Solanum lycopersicum: one gene and its partner. The protein of the gene in region 1 interacts with the protein of each later gene in a pairwise test. Links are inferred from orthologs where the notes say so. Each region holds a gene or a part of one and is shown on either strand. Other genes may lie near its edges. The genes, in order: protein BRICK 1 and protein SCAR3.

The links.
Region 2: the proteins of protein BRICK 1 (region 1) and protein SCAR3 interact in binary tests that used the Arabidopsis thaliana proteins (3 or more experiments, as listed by UniProt). The link is inferred for Solanum lycopersicum from reciprocal best matches to the Arabidopsis thaliana genes BRK1 and WAVE2.

Annotation. Positions count from the first base shown.
Region 1 is NC_090802.1:8,360,602-8,370,022, reverse strand, and holds the start of protein BRICK 1, read right to left. Parts: upstream 4,750-9,421; 5' UTR 4,649-4,749; exon of another isoform or gene 4,541-4,648; 5' UTR 4,532-4,540; coding exon 4,399-4,531; intron 4,297-4,398; coding exon 4,172-4,296; 3' UTR 4,133-4,171; exon of another isoform or gene 3,940-4,132; intron 1,535-3,939; exon of another isoform or gene 996-1,534; intron 1-995. UniProt on the Arabidopsis thaliana protein: Involved in regulation of actin and microtubule organization. Part of a WAVE complex that activates the Arp2/3 complex.
Region 2 is NC_090801.1:58,160,249-58,169,205, reverse strand, and holds part of protein SCAR3, read right to left. Parts: 5' UTR 8,817-8,957; coding exon 8,662-8,816; intron 8,147-8,661; exon of another isoform or gene 8,138-8,146; coding exon of another isoform or gene 8,118-8,137; intron 6,400-8,117; coding exon 6,236-6,399; intron 5,989-6,235; exon of another isoform or gene 5,978-5,988; coding exon 5,854-5,977; intron 5,772-5,853; coding exon 5,639-5,771; intron 3,994-5,638; coding exon 3,926-3,993; intron 3,770-3,925; coding exon 766-3,769; intron 641-765; coding exon 536-640; intron 58-535; coding exon 1-57. UniProt on the Arabidopsis thaliana protein: Involved in regulation of actin and microtubule organization. Part of a WAVE complex that activates the Arp2/3 complex. Regulates trichome branch positioning and expansion.

The DNA of each region.
Region 1 (9,421 bases):
GGTTCTGTTTCAACTAAGTCTCGAATGTAATATTAATATAGTAATGTAATATTAATATAATACTAATAGGGAGTAGTTGGGGTTACTTGGGTAGTATTTATTATTTAATATAAAATATAAAATATAAATTATAATTTATAAATATATAATATAAATTAATTAATAAATTATAATATTAATTAATTAATAAATATTAATTAATCGAAATCGGACCGGACCGGACCAGACCGAAACCGGGATAAACCACCGATACCAAACCTCGGTTCCATTCCGTTCCGTGTCCCGGTTCGAGATGTCCCGTTCAGTCCTGTAGGCAACCGAACCGGGACTAACCAAAATGGTACCGGTACATCCCGTTCCGTTGTCCAGCCTTACTTAATCTGCATAATAACTTGCAAGTGTTCTCTTTGATGTTCAGGTTAAACTTCATAGTAGGAACACAAGAGTTGAACAAATTATGCATCGAGGTATTAAGGAAGAGGATCTGTGGAAGCTGGTGCTTACTAACCATGCATGGCCAACATTGTAAGAGAGCTTGAAGATGCCATGATAATAGATATAAGGACTTTGAAGTCCATTTAAAGTTTGGAAGATCTTATCATTTCTCTATAGAATAGAAAGATCCATTAACCTTCCACCCACTAAATTTGAAATAGATCCATTCATCACCTCCTTTCAAAACCAGCTCCTCCACTGCCGAGATAATTGTTCAGCACAAGGATTACGGCTGTTTTTTTAAAAAACATTTCTTTTTGAAACTATTACGGCTGTTGCAACATATAACAGATTCGGTGGGAAGTTTCTCAAACAAATTACTTCCTTCAAATTCCTTCAACTTAAACTGTCCCTTATTTATTCATTGAAGAAGATTCTAAAATGTAAGAGAGCTTCTAAATAAATGCCCACTATTAATAAAATCCAAGCACTGGTTCTTTTCTAAGCATAGCACAAGAACACGTGCAGCTTGCTATACGTCACTGCTCTGGGTCATTCAATTACTGAAGCATTAACCTATCAAAGAATAAGATTCAATCCACAACAAATCTGAAACTTCACATCTCACATCACTGAAAAGCTGCACAATCCAAACTTAGGGTTCGGCCGACATCAAATAACAGGAGATTTTATCTACCTAAACCCTGATAAGTAGCATCACTTCTTTTATAAAATAAAAAAGGAATAAGAGAAAATTACTCTTAATCACCCTCAAATGTAACCGTGTACGTTAAAAGACTGTGCAGCGGCTCACGGCTTATTAAGGGCTTATCTTTCCATAATAACGATGACATCCGTACTTTGAAGATTATATGAAATGAGTTGAGATCAGATAGCCGAAATCCTTGGGTCAAAAGATAGGATAGAGTTCTTGAATAGTCACTGGCTCACTGCAAACATGTTTTACTGAGTCCAAGAAATCCCTCTCTCACCCCAACTTTGGTGCAATATTCAAACAGCATCTTGTGAAAACATAGATCATTCATAATTGCTAGAGGGAAATAAAATTTCACTAGCAGGAGATGGCGAGATCCCTAAACTGTAAACAAGAATTGCAACAATAGCTAGTTTGAATTAGAAGGACGTTGAACTTAATAAACCATCAAAAGGAAAGTTGTAATTCTTAAAAAACTCAGAAGTTTTTTATGCAGTACATAAATAGCCTGTGAGAATTTTTCCTGTTGCAAGTTGAGAACTCGGATAAAAGAAGAGAATTACGGTAGGTTGACGGCCAGCAAGTAATTATTCATTATATGATGAATCCTCACAAGCTATTAAGGATCAATATAACCAACTTCAACTAGCTTGGAATAGAGGCGTAGTTAACATAAAGAAGATGGATGGACAGAGTAAGTTATGTCAAAGTTTCCAGGCACCATACATGTATGTAGGGTGTTAAACTTTTACTTCTTATGTTCTTTATACAGCAACTAGGGTGTTAATTTCCATAGGATCAAAATAAAGAAAATAGAAGAATTAACCTAAATAGCTGCCTACCCAACAGCTTAAACTAAAAATAGCCGGCGGATGTATAATATAATATTGTATAACCGTGGATGATATATGTGTAGCGTTTAGGAAAACTAAACAGTGAATCTGGTTGGCTATTTGTGTAAAGATCCCAAAATCAAATATGGAGGGAACAAATGAAGCTGGAAGGAATGAGAATACTCATTGCCCTGTAAACCCTTCCATTTCAGGAATACACGAGCTTTCAGCACTCAAAGTTACAGTGATACAACAGGTCAATGAGGTCTGAAAACACAAGTTTCATGTCTTCGTAAAAATGAGATGTGTTTGATAGAAAGAAAGCAATGTGATCAAGTTGAAGGGCTAATTAGAAAATAACTTGATTCAAGGTGTTTCTGGATTGAGAGATCTGAGAAATATGTGAATGAATTATCTCAGATTCTCTTTCTTTTCTTTCTTGACAAGAGTTGAATTATCTCAGATAAAAGAAACTAGAACTCAAGGCTGCTAAGACACTGAGAGGGAGCTGATACAATCTAAAGGGGAATGACACCATTTACAGGGGATAGATTGCTCTTTCTAAAGAGATTTATCAAACACTTGGACTTAAGAGAGCAGTGAGGAGTTGAAGTCCCATCAAAACATCTTTTGTTCCTTTCTGCGCATAGACACCAAAAATTACGAGCTGGATCATTTGCCAGATCTTCTTAATGGACTTGTCCACTTCCACATAATACAACTTCCAACTAGAACTAAAACTTATTACTTAACTCCTATAGGCTATAAGTCCATTACAAATTTAACATTAATATAATCTTATAACTTTGTAAATAAACAGTGCTCAATCTAAACTACGAACCTGGTGGCTAGTATGAAGAAGGCAAGGGAAAAACATGTAAACAATAGCAGTCAATACCAAGTAACCCTTAATAGATAAATCAACCATGTTAACAATAACCAGTCTGGAATATAGCTGTATGGTATATGGCCAGCAAGCTATTTCATTCTCATGTCCAACCTTTCATTATGTTAAACTCTGTATTGAAAACGATTATTCATTTTGTCCCAATTTATGTGTCTACTTTCACCTTTAGTCTGTCCTAGACAGAATGTCATACTTACTTAAACTTTCTATTTTACCCTTAATGAGGATTTCCTACTAGACACATCTCTGACTTGTTTTAGACCACAACTTCAAAGAGTCTTTTTAATTTCTTAATCTCTGTGCCAGTCACACGACGCCACATAAATTGGAACGAAGGACGTATTAAAAACAAGGATGTATTAAAAACTGCTACAAGTCAGGAAGTCCTAATTAAAGCTTCCATGTCCAAGTATGATCTAGAAACCTCTAATTTACTTCAAAAGATAATTCTTTTAGTATTACAAAGAAGCAGGATGGATTAGAGGATTCACATAGATGACACAACAAGTTTTAGTTTAAGCATCGTTGATTGGTTACTGACTACAAGAATGACATTTCACATGATTGTATTACATAAAAAGTTAGTAGAAAAAAAATGAGAAGGTAAAACGATCATTTTTTTCCCAGAGAAGGTAAAGTAACTTTTATAAATGAACAAGCACAATGTTCCTATTTCCACATATAAATCTCCATCGCACATGAGAAAAGAACCAACTCACAGAGAAAAATAAGAGACTGAGATCCAGCAGATTAAAGTTCCAAGAAGCCATATGAAGAAAACAGGCAAGAATATCAAAACGGCATTACAGAAGGTATAAACAACATTTGCTTCATATTAACTAGGTCAAAAGATTAAGATGGTCTTGAAGAATTTATAGTAATGCTTTGACCCCTCAAATCAACTTATCATTCCAATTTACACATAGACAATCTCCATTGTGCATTAGCAATGAACCAACACAGTAGTTTTAGCGAACTGAAAACTTAGATGAAAGAAACTGTAGATCCAATAGGTATGCATACTTGCAGCTACTAAATTCCATGAATCATTTCCACAAAATTGCAACTGATTATTAACTATCCGAACATAATGTACTTGAATAGAGCCGAATCTCACACAAATTCATATAGCTAACCTAACTAATTCAGGCACATTTGATTGAGATTTTCATAAAACAAGGACTTTTCACAAATATGATCTCCAAAACAAAGCAATCTATTTATAATACAGAATTGAAGTACCTTACAGATTGAGAATATTAGTACAATGCTTGCATCATGTCAAACATTAAACAGAGCTGGATTAGCAGTTGCTGTACTGACTTGGACTTCAAGCAGTTCCAAACGACGTTCCAGTGTATCAAGCTTCTCATTCAGTGTCGCCAATTTACTCTTCGTCGTCGCCTCTGAAAGTAGAACAAAATCAACACCGAAATCGCTTTACAACAGGAATTTAACAAAAACCGAATATTTGCCCTAAGGATATTGAATGAGTTAGAGAAATTTACCGAATTGGACGAGGAAATCGAAGAGTTTGCGGACGTTGAGAGAGATGTGAGATATGAATTCACGATTTTCCCAATCTGCTTGTACTGCTATGCCTACATTCACCGCGTTTGTTATTCCTCCGGCTCGAGCCATTTCTGGTCACTGTTTTCCGATCAACGGAGAAGAAAGAGAGAGAGATGCGGAAGGAGAACAAACAATTCTGCAATGATTAGTTTTAGGTTAAAGGAAAATGGAGGAGATAGTGATTACCTTCTTTGTTCTTCAAAGGCAAGCATCTCTACTTGCAAATCTGTTTTTTTCTAAAAAAAAAGAAGATAGATATAAATGTCGAAAATACGTTTAACTTAAAATATTAATTTCATATTGGCTTGAGAAATACGTATAATTGATATCATACTTATATGTTCAATATTTTAGATATAAAATTCAAAAAAAATAATTTAAATATGTTTCTTACACTTATTTTAAAAGAGAAAAAATGATAAATATATTCAAACTATTATAAATGGTATATAAATAATCTGTCATATTTTTGAATAATGTCTTTGTCATTCAAAAATTAAAATATATATATATTCTTCACTCTAATGAAAAATCAAATAGGAACACATGACATGACGCAGTTAACAATCAAATGTATCCCTTCACCTTATACATCATTTGATTTTCCTCACAATAGTTATACTACACCCCGATTCATAGTGACACTTTAACTCTTGTTCACAAGAGGGATTAGAATCATTATAACAATAGAATTTTACCCCATATCAATATATAATGAGATTATTTATCTGCAGATTACGTAATTGCATATAACTTATTTTGATTAGAAAGTTCAATAAAATCTTGATATTAATATTTTCTTGAAAAATCGATCCAGTATGAATAGAAATTGTCATTACTAAAGATTCAGATTTAATCAATAATATGAAGAAAGTACGAACGAAAAGAAGTTGAAATGATATATAAAAGAAAAAGAAAATAAAATTTTCAATACTTATCTCCATATAAAATTAGTGTTTAATCTTGAACCTGAATATCGATAAACAAATTCACGTTTATAATAGGAATATACATTCTCATCAAATATAGGAGATGGACCTATGCACCTATTAATAACAACGATAATATATACATTGACAAATGATTTTGTAAATCAAAGATTAAAAATAACTAACTACGGTGGATACTCCATAATATATTTTGGAGTCTTAATATGATTCATAATATATTCAGTTATCAATACATAGTTTGCAAAAGATGGGCTATCAGAATGTATCTTCCGGCCAGAGGACAAGAGTTTATTCTACTAGGAGTTTAATCTCTTCAATACCTTCTTGACTAAATTATTGTAATATATAAGTTGTAGTTAAAAAATAAATTGAATAAATATATATTTAGAATGAGCTATGAAAATTTCACTGTTTTTTTTAAGGAGATTCAAGTTTCTGAGACATAATTTACATCGATTCAATAATATATTTCTTGACCTGTTCTTTAAACGATACAACAGTCTAACAATGTTATATAATTTAAACAACTCAGAATTAGTTAAAGATTTCAAATATCCATCAATAGAAATATGCATTTCTTCAACTTACAATGCCTCACTTTTGTATTGTGAAAAGCTTGGAGAAGAATATTTTTTTCTTCTCCTAACGGTCTCTTTCACTATATCAACCTCAAAATATAAATAAAATATAGGGCACATTTCACCATATATAAATTTCGCGAGTAAAATTTGGGAGAAAATATGGTAAATAGTATTTGTCCATATAATTTGACATAATTTAGTAAATTATCCAAATAATAGAAAAAAGCTAGCCGTTTGGCCATAGATTTCCCAAATAATATTTGAAAATTAAAATTTTACCCCAAACTTTTATCCTTTACAAAAACACCCTCTATAGTAGTTGCTTGCATTGTATTACATAATTTTTTACGCGGAACACCAAAATAGTGATGAAATATTTACTGAATATTAAATGATGATATGTTTATTGATGAAAATGATGAACAATAGGCTCATGATAACAATGTCATGTGATTTGTCTACTTCATGATGTATGGAATGATGCATGTTTCACTCACTCCAAATTACCACATTACTCTAGTGTCATGGACACTATTTGTTATCGTTGGAACGAAAATCCAATTCACTTGTAATACAAACTTATGGTTAGTTTTGATAGTTTTAAAAATTTATGGGTATAAATCATATTTTTCTAAAAAAGTGAAATATATTTCTCAAATACTAGCAAGCACATGGTGAAATTTCACCCAAATTTTCACCCTAATAATATTTGCCAAGAATATTTGAAATCTATGGTCAAACGCTAGCTTAAGTATTTGAGTCAAATCTCATGATTTGGTAACTTTTAATAATTCAAATTCTACACCAAACTTTTATCTTTTATATAAGAACACCCTCCATAGTAATTTTTTGCATTGTTTTATATAATTTTTTACGTGAACATCAAAGTGGTGATTGAAATTCAATGACTATAAAAGTGATGATATATTTATTGATGAAAATGATGAACAATCGGCTTAGGGTAATAAAGTCATGTGCTATGTAATACAAATTTATGGTTTGTTTTGATAGTTTTTAAAACTTGTAATATAAATCATATTTTTTGAAAAGGTGAAATATAATTCCCAAATACTATGGTCAAATACATGGTAAAATTTTCACTCAAATAATATTTATCAGATAGTCAAACGTTAGCATAATACTTCTCATCTTTCTCATCTATTACAAAAGAGAAAAGACATTGACACCTGAAGTTGTCTCAGATTTTTAAAAAGACACATTAACTATGTAAATGTCCTATTACCCCACAAAAGTATTAAATATCTTTGTAAATTGACCATTTTGGCTCATTTTCTCATCAACCTCACACGCGTGAGACACACTCTCCTTTTAATTAATTAATTTAATTTAAATATCAATTAAATACAGGTTTAACCCGACCCAAATCGTTTAAAAAGATAAATGGTACACTTTCTTTTCTTTTCTTCTCTCTAAATTTCTCACTTTCTTTCTTTATATTTTATTTTCTTGCTCAATTGCAATTCAATTACAACTTCTTTTGAAGTTTACATCTATTTCAATTTCACCTTTTGTTGGTCAATTTCTTGGGAAATTAGCTGAGCAAACAAGAAGTTTTCATGTTCATTTTAGTATTTGATATAGATTATATTTTTTCTTCTTCATGGATTTGTGATCTTCTGGAGAAAAACACATGTTAGAAATTATTTTAAGATAAAAACTAAAAAGTGTTAGAATCTTACCTTCTTTTTTAAAAAATTCATCTTGGACCAATGGTCCATTATTATTAATAGGGAAAAGGGTCTGATATACCCATCAACTTTGTCATTTGGAGCTGATATACCCCTCGTTATAAAAGTGGCTCATATATACCCTTACCGTTATACAAACAGCTCACATATACCCCTGTCGTTACAAAATGGCTCACATATACCCTTCATTTAACGGAATTTAAAAGATTAGTTTTAAATTTATATTTATTACTTCTATTTTTTCAAAAAAAATTATTTAGGGGTATATATGATTCTTCTATCAAAGTTCAGGGTATATTTTAATTTTTTTCATACATAAATTATTTTTTGACTTCTTTTATTATAATTATTTGAATTTTTTATTCTTATTTGGTTTTTTTCTTTCATTCCTTAGTTTAAAGAATAAAAAATTAAACTATTTTTTTCGTGTGTATTGTAATTTAATTTCGTATTCGAAGAAAAAATTTGGTCATCTACAATAAGTTTTACAAGAGTATTAGTGAAACATAAATAAATTTGATTATCAAAATAATAATTATAAATTAGTCATTGAAACAAAAAAAAAGTCAAAAAAGTATTTTTGACGAGGATTAAATTTACTCATATGAGATTATATTTTTTAAGAAAAAATAATAAAAATTTAGATTAAAATTATTTTTTTTCATTTCCGTTAGAGGAAAAAGGATATATGTGAGCCATTTATTTACAAGTAGGGGTATATATGAGCCACTTTCATAACAAGGGGTATATCAGCTCTAAATGACAAAGTTGAGGGATATATCAGACATTTTTCCCTTATTAATAATAAAGGAGAAAAAATTACAGACTTGGGTTAAAAAGACTCGGACAAACAAAAAAAAATCACCAATTTTAGAAAACGAAAAGAATTTGAAAAAAAAGAAGAGGAAAGTCTCTACAGAAGGACCAAGATCCTCACACCTTTCATCTTCAAATTTGATTCAATGAAGCTCTAGTTTGCCTTACCCTTTTTGCCAGCTTCGAAGCATTTATCTACGAGCTTGGGCAAGATTCACTTCGGCAGTACCTTCATTCAAGAGAAAAGAATTTTTTTTCTTTAGAATAACAAGAGGCAACAAGGAGACCATATCGAATAAAAGCAACAGTTGTCAAAAATAGTTCCTTTGAAAGAATGGGGAAAAGTTGGGGAAAATGAGTACTTTAAAAAGGAAAGAATTAAATCATAGATTAAAAAATGACGCGTGTCACTTGTTAATTGGAAGAAAAATCTATCATTCACGCGTATTATTTGCGTGAAAACAAACATAGGGAGAAAACGGGTCAAAGTGGCGTATTTACAAAAATATCTCCTACTTTCGTGGGGTAATAGGATACTCATATAGTTAAAGTGTCTTATTAAAAATTCGGGACAACTTTAGATGTCACTTTATGTCTTTTCTCATTACAAAAAAATAACTATGAAAACATCAATTTATATAGCTAAGATTTCTTCCACAAATAAATGTTTATAATCTAGATAGTCATTTAATTAGAAATAGTTGAGCAATTAGTAGGAGATAATCAGGAGGACATGTCATTGTGGTTACATAAATTATGAGAGTTCATAAGAGCCCGAATTTAGATAGGTGAAAGATCCTTACTCAAATTACGTTAAGAACTATTGACTGTAAACCATAGCAGTTACAGTCACTCAATGGAGATGTTCGCCTTTGTTTGGAATGAAGATGGATGAACAGAAAG
Region 2 (8,957 bases), on another chromosome or scaffold:
TGGAGGCACTGTATTTCCAGTTGGTTTTGCTGGAGCAGTTCGTCTAAGATTGAACGACTGAATCATACAACAAAAAAGGAATGTAGATAATGAGAATTCGTCAAATGACATAAAATTGGAAAATTATTATCATCAGATGCTTCATCATCCTCAAGTATGAAGAACATACTTTCATAGTACTTCAACCCCCTACTCACATTTCAAAGAAGGGTGAAAGACAATTACCTACAGAAGGTGGGTCACATTCATGAGAAAGAAAATTAGAGGGTAGTTGTTCAAGGAAATATGGAGCTTAAAGATGCTAGTGAACCCATTGAGGTAACAGGCTAAAACTAGCTTAGCTATCCAATATCTAATTCAAAAAGAACGGCTAGCTGATTTTCCAAATCTAAAAATTCATGAAGTATTCAGAAAATTCACTCAGGCTTAAAGAAAATTAACAGATAAAAAAGGTAAACATAGCTGCACTAATCAATATCAAAACCAGACTGCAGACAAATATTCAATCACCAATAGGACAATAATGACCACTCACTTTTGCTCTAATCTGGTGTAGGAAGTCTTCCTTTTCATTGATTCCTCTGCCATTTCCAGCATGATCAGCAAATTGCTGCCCAGTTGTGTCTATTGACTGTGGCTGCTGCATGTGTAAATGTCTTTTTGTCACTTCCTACTTAACCAAGTGGGATATGAAAGCAGAAAGAGAACCTTTAAAACAAAATTTCTGTTCCTTTTGATATTTTGTAGTGGGGTTAGGAAGAATACCTTGCTTTTCAATGTAAATGCAGATTCAATAACTTGGTTTTGCTTGAATGGAGGAGGCTTAGGTTGATGGGAAATGGTCGATCCAGGCTCCTTGTGATCAAACACATGATGGTGTTCGGAGAAAAGATGTAGATCATCTTGTTCGTCATCTAAATGTGATTGCATATTCTGCCACTGCATTGAAGGAAGAGGTGGAGCAGGTGGTGTAGATTCCTTCAATGGCTCTAGAAAATCTCTTGCAGACGTAGTATTACCTACTCCATGCTTGAATGAGGAATGCTGGGTATCCAGAACCGGAAGATCAAATAAGTTATCAGACGGAGAATCCTCCAGAGAGGATTCTGCAAAAGGAATATGGTTTCTACTGCAGGTGTGCAAATCCTGATGAGTTGTTCGGCCATTCTCGAAAGATGTTGAAGTTGACTCAGTTAATGATATTCTATGCAAAGCATTGTATACTTCTTGGTCCTTTAAATTAGGGAAATTACCAGATTCCCACTGTTCAGAGTTTGACTCAGACTGATGGCTAAGATAATCATCTGATAGATCGGGAGATGATCCGGAAAATGTGTCATCATCGGAGTCTGAACCAACTTCTTGCAGAGGAATAGAAGGCTCTGGTACTAGCTGAAATGAAGGAAACATATCATTATTGCTTTCAGGAAATCTGAGCTTCAGTTTCGTAGTCTCAATGCTGTCTATTGGCTGGAATGAAATTTTCATATGTCCAAGTGGGGGTGATGAAGGAGGTGATGTGAAGGGGGACACTCTTCCTGGGAAGTCTTTGATTGTTCTACCCACACATTGTTGGTAGTCATTTATAGGCTCATTGCTTCCAGTGTTGAAAGAACTGGCTGAATCCGTCTTATCATTCCAACCAAGTGAGAGTTTCCCATGGAACCCATTTGTAAGCAATCTATTACCTAGTTCAAGAATACGTGATGAATTCTTTCCGTTCTCTTGACCAGCTAAAATAGGGGATTCTGGACTAACTGTACCGATTGTCCTAGATGTCATACCATATCCATTTGAAGAACTGTGAAGGGGCTTACCAGTGCAGTTTTGCTGGTATAAATTACTTGACTTGTCAAGTTTGACATCTAAATCTTTGGCTGAAAATCTTGATGATATGTTCTTAATAGAAAAGGCAACTCCTTGACCAGAATTTTGGCAATCAGCTTTCTCTCTTGACGTATTCTGTACATCATCTTGTTTCCCTGTATGCTTTTCACTGCTGGGAACAGGATCTTGCCTTGAAGCAATGACTTCCTCATTTTGATTAGATTCATAAACTTGACCAACACTATTTATTACACCATCTGGCGGCTTCGAGGGCTCAAGCCCGAGCAAGCCACCATTTGTCCAGAATTTGACTTTAGGAGTGGCAAGAAGTTGGGGTGGAGGTTTTTCAGAGTCGGAAGGACTACAATGGATCTTGTTGACCACTGGCAATGCTGAAGAAGGATTTCTAGGGCTAGAGGTGATATGATTGCTAACAAGTGGTTCCTCTTGTGATGCTTCCAGAAAATTGGATCTTTTACTTGAAGGGACATCTATAGAACTGTCTAGTTTTAAAGTAATTCCAGCAATCTGCGGAGACGATAAAATCTCATCAAACCCTGAAGAGATATTCTCTGGAATTTCCTTACGTTTTACTTTGTTAGAGAAGGAGAAATCTCCAGGATCAGAGTCAGCAGATACCAAGTTGGTCTTACCACCAAAACCACGGTTCTCAGGGGAATTTCTGGCTGCAGCCTCGGGTATAGGAGTAGACAAATTCCGATCAGAAAGTTCTGCACTATTTACATGGGTTCCATTCAAGGATGATTCAGTCTTCAAACTAGACTCCAGCTCCATTGCTCGTTTTCTTTGGCAATCCAAATCAGTTTCAGACTCTGACTCAATGGTGTTAAGTGCATCCATAAAACTGTCGCTTTCACTTTCAATGTCATCAAACTGGCTTTCATAAGAAATTGACCTTTGTATAATTTCAGCCTCCGGCTCAGAACTTTGCTGTTGAATATTTTCAGAAGTTGCTATATCTAATACCTGTGTATCTAGGACTAGATTTTCTTGAAGTGCCTCCAAACTCTCATCAAAATCATACTTCTGAATACTCAGGTCCAACTGTTCATTCTTAACACTGCTACTTGAGAAAGGTGAACTAAGAACCACCTGCCCTTGTGGAAAATTGTTACTCTCTTCATCAGATATGACCCAAAGCTTTTCATTGGGAGAATCATCTTCTATGGAAGCACTTGGATTCATCTGTAACGGAGAGTAAAAGATTTCTTTAGACTCTACTTCAGCAGTTCTCATCTTATCACTCAAAGCAACAGGCAATAAGTTGCGGCCAATTTGCTCCTCTGTTAAGCTGTTTCCCATATCACTGTACTCATCATCGCCTTTTCGAACAGGGGAAGCACAATCAGGCAAATTATCATGATGAATCTGGGAGGGAGAAGAAAAGGATTCTCTAGATTCTTGTTTCTCACGTCCTGTTTTATCATTCCAAGTAATAGAAGATGTGCAACGATCAGCTTGCTCTTCGGATACAATATTACCAATGTCGTCATAAACAACTTCACGTCTTTCCTCAGGAAAATCATGATTAAATGTATTGTTAAGATGAAGCTGTGAAGTTGAATCAAAGGATCCTTTAGACTCTTGCGTGTCAGGTAGCTTCATGTTCCAAGAAACAGACGTTGAAACAAGGTCAGTTAGCTCTTGTGAAAAATCTTTGTCAATATCATTGAAAGTGTGATCACTCTTTTCTTCGAGAAAAGAATAATCAAACGACTGATTGTGCTGCATTTTTATTGTAGACGAGACAGTCTCAGATTTTCCATCTTCAGGTTGAATAGAGAAACTTGTCTGTGAAACATAGTCCGTCAGACCCGACCCATGTCTCGAATCTATGTCAGATTTGAGGGTTGTATCATATGCGGAGAAACTCTGAACCCAGGAAGGACGCCTATCGAGATTTCTATAAGCAAATTGCATTCTGCAAAAATCACAAAGTTATATTTCAGAAAATTCCGATCTGTAAAAGCTACAAATATACTTCCCCCTACCCCCCTCCCTATCATACATCAATTCTCTAAAGTCACCACTTTTTCTCCATCTTTTCTGTCCGCAAGAGAAGACAAGAAATGCATACCTACTGCCATAATTGGGCATAGACGCACTACGAGAGACTTCTCCATTCCTCCTCCATGATCCTTTCTTCTGTTCAATGTTGACACATATTTGCATTAGAAAACTTCTTGAAATTACTACCAAACAGAAACAAGCTTGCAATAGCTCAAATTTTTGGTTAACATTCATATGCACTTGTTGGAAAATACCAATGGAGATAAATCCTTTTTTGAGCTTATTATAAGAAGCACTACAGAAAGTATATTCTAATATTTCAGGGCCGAAGTAACACCCCGTTAAACAAAAGACCATAGTCTATACCAGGGAATAGAACAAAATCTCAGTGCAAATAAGCTCTGATCCTTTTCAATTTTTACTTATGGAAAGATGACACATAAGAAGCCCATCCCCCTTGCATCTTATGCTCAATCTGCACATATAGTATCACCTTTCATTCCCGTTCTCTGTTAGGAGAATGGTTATGGAAAGACTTAAGATTAATGCAATTATAAACAGACAGTACTAACTTGTGCTTCTAGTAAATGCTTGATGTTCACTGTGCAAAGTTAGATGTCATCAATGTCAAGCACTGGTATGCTCATGGGTTGTGTCTCCTTCCCCGGCTTCCTCTCAACGTTCTTTTTAAAGCCAAACACCTTCAACAACTTCCAATGAGCAACCCCAAAACAAGAAAAATAAAGGAAAAAAGGACAACCCTGTATTGATATATTGGCAGTGGATTCCTAATATTTGGTATAAACTAATACAACTATTTAGTTTTGGACTCTGCTAGGTTTCTATTTATGCCCTCTCTCCCATTCGAGGATAGTAATCAATACATGAGATATAGCTTTCCACACAAAGAAAGTTCTTCAAACCCAAAAGCTAAACAGACAATGCGGAAAAGATGAAAGAAAGGACAATGTCGCGGTCCTTCCTTACCTAGGCCTTACGCATAGTGGGAGCTTAGTGCACCGAACTGCCCTATTTCTTTGTTCCAATTGACAGTGTAAGTTATATATTAGTTAATTTAGTTTATTTAGATGAAAATGCTATGTCCAAAAGAGAATATAATATGAACTACCACTTGAATATATTTCATAAATTTGTGCAAAAGATATTGTTGATATGCTTCTTTGCTCTATTAAATGTATCAACCAGTGAGGAATCGGTGTTTAGTTTTATTGAGTTATTTGCTTGAAAAGAACTTTAACAATAAAAGATCTGGTTGCAATTTTTCTTTGTTGAAAAGACAGTTCCATCATGTTATTAATTAACATACTGGTCTTTTTTTTTTAATCTGCTAAATTCATGTGATAGTTTACAATCAAAGCTAATTTCATTTTCATTTCATTCAGTTTTCAATAATTGTATCTCATTTTATGTTTCTTTATCTATGTGTATAGACTAATACAAATTTATACTCCTAAATCTATATATTTGACATAGATGATCTTCTCCCGATGAATCCAATTTCTAGCTATCCTTGCTAATTATATGGTTCTAACCTATCCCATACAGCATACTTCTGGCTCTACCTATATGCAAGGCACATTATGGAGAGGCTTTCATTGATGTGTGTGTACTTGTATTTTACTATTTAAGATGTAGTTCTTCAACTTTATAATATCCTTTGTGTCCTGTGAATAGATACGAGGATACTGCTCATAAAAATCCCAAGTCAATCTACACTAGTTAAGCTGTGGCAGGTATTTCAGAATAATTTGTGAGATACCTTAATCTTCCGACCCTTCTTTTCTTTAAGGACTTTGGCAATATATTCTTCGTCTGACCCAACAGATGCTCTCTTAAAGAAAGTTGGATCTGAATACCTTTTCAAGCAAGATCCAGGTCCTCCAGGGTCAAATCTGAAGAGACAAGTAAAAATTTTATGAGTGTAACAGTGCAATCAGGATATACAAATATAGCTATAAAGGTGAGTTCACATACTTGTCAAGCAAATGCAAGCGTGGCGGAGCATGACACTCTTCGTACGAATCCATGATAAATCTTGGCAAGTCATTGTATATAAAATGATTTTGTTCACTACGGATACGGGCATGCCAATTGGATCCTGCATACCAACTGCTTCCATAAAAAAAAAACTCGAGCAGGAAAAGAAGCCATTTGATCTGCGGAAATAGATATTCCAAATACACCGAAAGTGAAGTATTTCCTACAACCAACACTTCATTTGTGGAACTATTTGGAACATCATTTGTATCATAGATAGATATATCTGAGCGAGATAAATAAAACCAAATCACCCCCGTTCCCACTATCTTCTATCATCAGTAGAAGAAATCCAGTAATTGAGATTAAAAAGTCATACCAGCTGTATAAGCAAAGTGTAAATGACTCTGTTGCGCCAATACTGATTTCTCAAGTGGAGGAAGTGCAGCTTCAATTTTTTGCACCCGAACAACCAACTTATTGCTTCTCGAGGATGTAACCATCACTTGCTCTTGTAAGCCATGAAACACTTCCGCTGCAAATCTACAAGTACAAAACTTCTCTTAATTACTATGTTTTAAGCATTCAAAAACTCAGCAGGAAGTCCTGAATTGATATAGCTCATACAGATTATACGTTGTAGTTATAACCCATCTAAGAAATGGTAAATGCTGGGCCAGCATTGTCAAAATGTAGTTTAATGTGAGCCCCGCCCCACAAGGATATAGCTTACCGGTCAATGATGTTTTAATGAAGACCATGAGATACCAAGGTTGAAATTCTAGCAGAGGCAAAAAATTAAGGTGATTTCTTCCCATCTGCCTAAGCCTTGATAGGTAAAGTTACCTGATACATGATCCTGTATTGGTGTAAAGATGCAAGTATCTGTGAAATCGTTGAGGTGCATGCAAGCTGGTATAGAAACTCTATTATATACCATGTATAAGAAAAAGAAGAGGAGTTCAATGTGGTGAACTTCCCTTCTTATCAGAGGTTAATGGCTCTTGCCTTTTGGAGGAAGAAGTAATGAGTTGTGCTTAACTACGCATTTGATTTTTGTAGGGAAGAATTCTTTTGTTGCTTTTGGATAGTTTTCTGAGTTTTAGTTCTAATATACATATATCTGCAGATAACTTAAGTGCTCTGAATTAGCCATCAGTTATTTGGAGCTGATGTTGATATTGATATATAAGTTGCAGGGGGTATTTCAAACAGCCAATAATAATATGTTTGACCAAGCTTCTGAGAAGCCAAAAGTGTTTATATTAGAGAATAGGGGTGTTTGTATGGTAAAATTAAAAGCTTATAGTAGCAGAAGCTGGAAAAAAGTAGCTTTTTCCCAGAAACACACCTGCAGCCTTGGCCAAGTGCAAATTACTGCTCTAATATTGGCAAAAGTGCTTACCAAATTGATTAGCCAAACACAAACTGCTAATCTTCAAAATCACTTTTTCAAAAAACTACTTTTGACAACATAAAAACACTAATTAAAATAAGCAGGTTTTCGCAGCTTGGCTAAAGTCTAAACAGGTGAAGTCTCAAAAGTGTTTAACATTTTGCCTTATCCTTTAAGATCAACACAAGGTTCTAAAAAGATTGGGGGTACATACTATTATCTATTGCTCTATAGTAATTTTGGTCTTCATTTGGTGGAACGAGATATATGTAAGTTTACTCTCAGTTTAATGGCCATAGAGTAAGTTGAACGCACTATACATATACCCCACTCGTCTAAATATTTTTTCACTTCACAATTCTCTAGAGTCAATATGACAAAACCCTTTACCACAAATTTCTTTGGTAAATCTGTTTGCTATCTTCAAATCAAAAGTTTATCCTTTTCTCATTTTCCACAAAATTCAGTCAACTTAACTTAGGTAGATCCGAAGTAACCAAATTAAACACAAAAAGGAGTTACCTTCTTCTTCTTTTTTCTTATTTATAAGACATCTTTTTTCTCCTAATTCAAATGACATTTTTCCAATTGAAATAGCCAGAAGTGTTTAACATCACTAGTATAGTTTCAAAAATCCAAATCAAACAACAACTACTACACCTCATTCTCAAACAAGTTAAGAGGTGAACTATATGAATCCCGACTTCTTCATTTAAGCTCATTTTGTATCATCGTCATACTAAATAATAAAATGAAAACTAATTTCAAATATATATAATAAATAATAAAAACTATAATACTATAAGTTCTCTAACAAGTCTAAAACCTATTCTCAACTAGTAGCATGACATATATGAATCTTTACCTTTCATTGTGCCCTATCATTAGTCAAGTCTGCATTGATGCAAAGGAAAATTTAAACCACATTAACATTTTATTTCACTACTTATATATAATCTACCAATCAAACTAACATACTTGTGTCATGAAAAGTGGAGCTGAGGAACAACTTATTTTGCATGCACCAAACTAGGGAAATAATTATGAAAGATTAAAAACAACAAGAAAGAAATATGCTGATAAAAAGGAGCAAAATCAGATAATTCCTTCTCATCGAAAAAAAAGTGTAAATTAACTAAGCTATAAACTTAATTCGAAATTTAGCCAATTTCAGCTCAACTAATTTGAATTCAGCAATACATCCGTTTAGTTAGTACAAACAAAGTTCGATTTTTTTCAGAGAAATTACTTCAACTTCACCACAATATAACAAAATAGAACTCAACAAAAAAAATCAAAGATAAAACTTTTTCCGGAAAACGCTCACTGAGATTGAACTTTAAAGCTGGCAAAGAGCAAAGAATGAAAACAATGTGTTCAAAAAATTTGTGAAAAATGGAAAAACGTACTCAGCGAGATCGCCGAGCTGACGCAAGATCCCGACGAGTCCAGCGACTGCAACTCCGTCAAGCACCGCCTTTGGATCCTCTTTCTCGGCGTCTCGGTACAATTCCGGCGTTCCCAATCCGTACACATTCCTCACCGCAGTTCTCACCAACGGCATCGTTCCGTTTCACCTCTCTCTCTCTCTCTCTCTTTCTACTTTGCCTACAAGTATTCTTTAATTGAATGTGAGAGAATTAATAAATATATGAGAAATAAATGATGAAATGATGAGAGAGAAAGTAAAAGAGGGGTAGTTGAA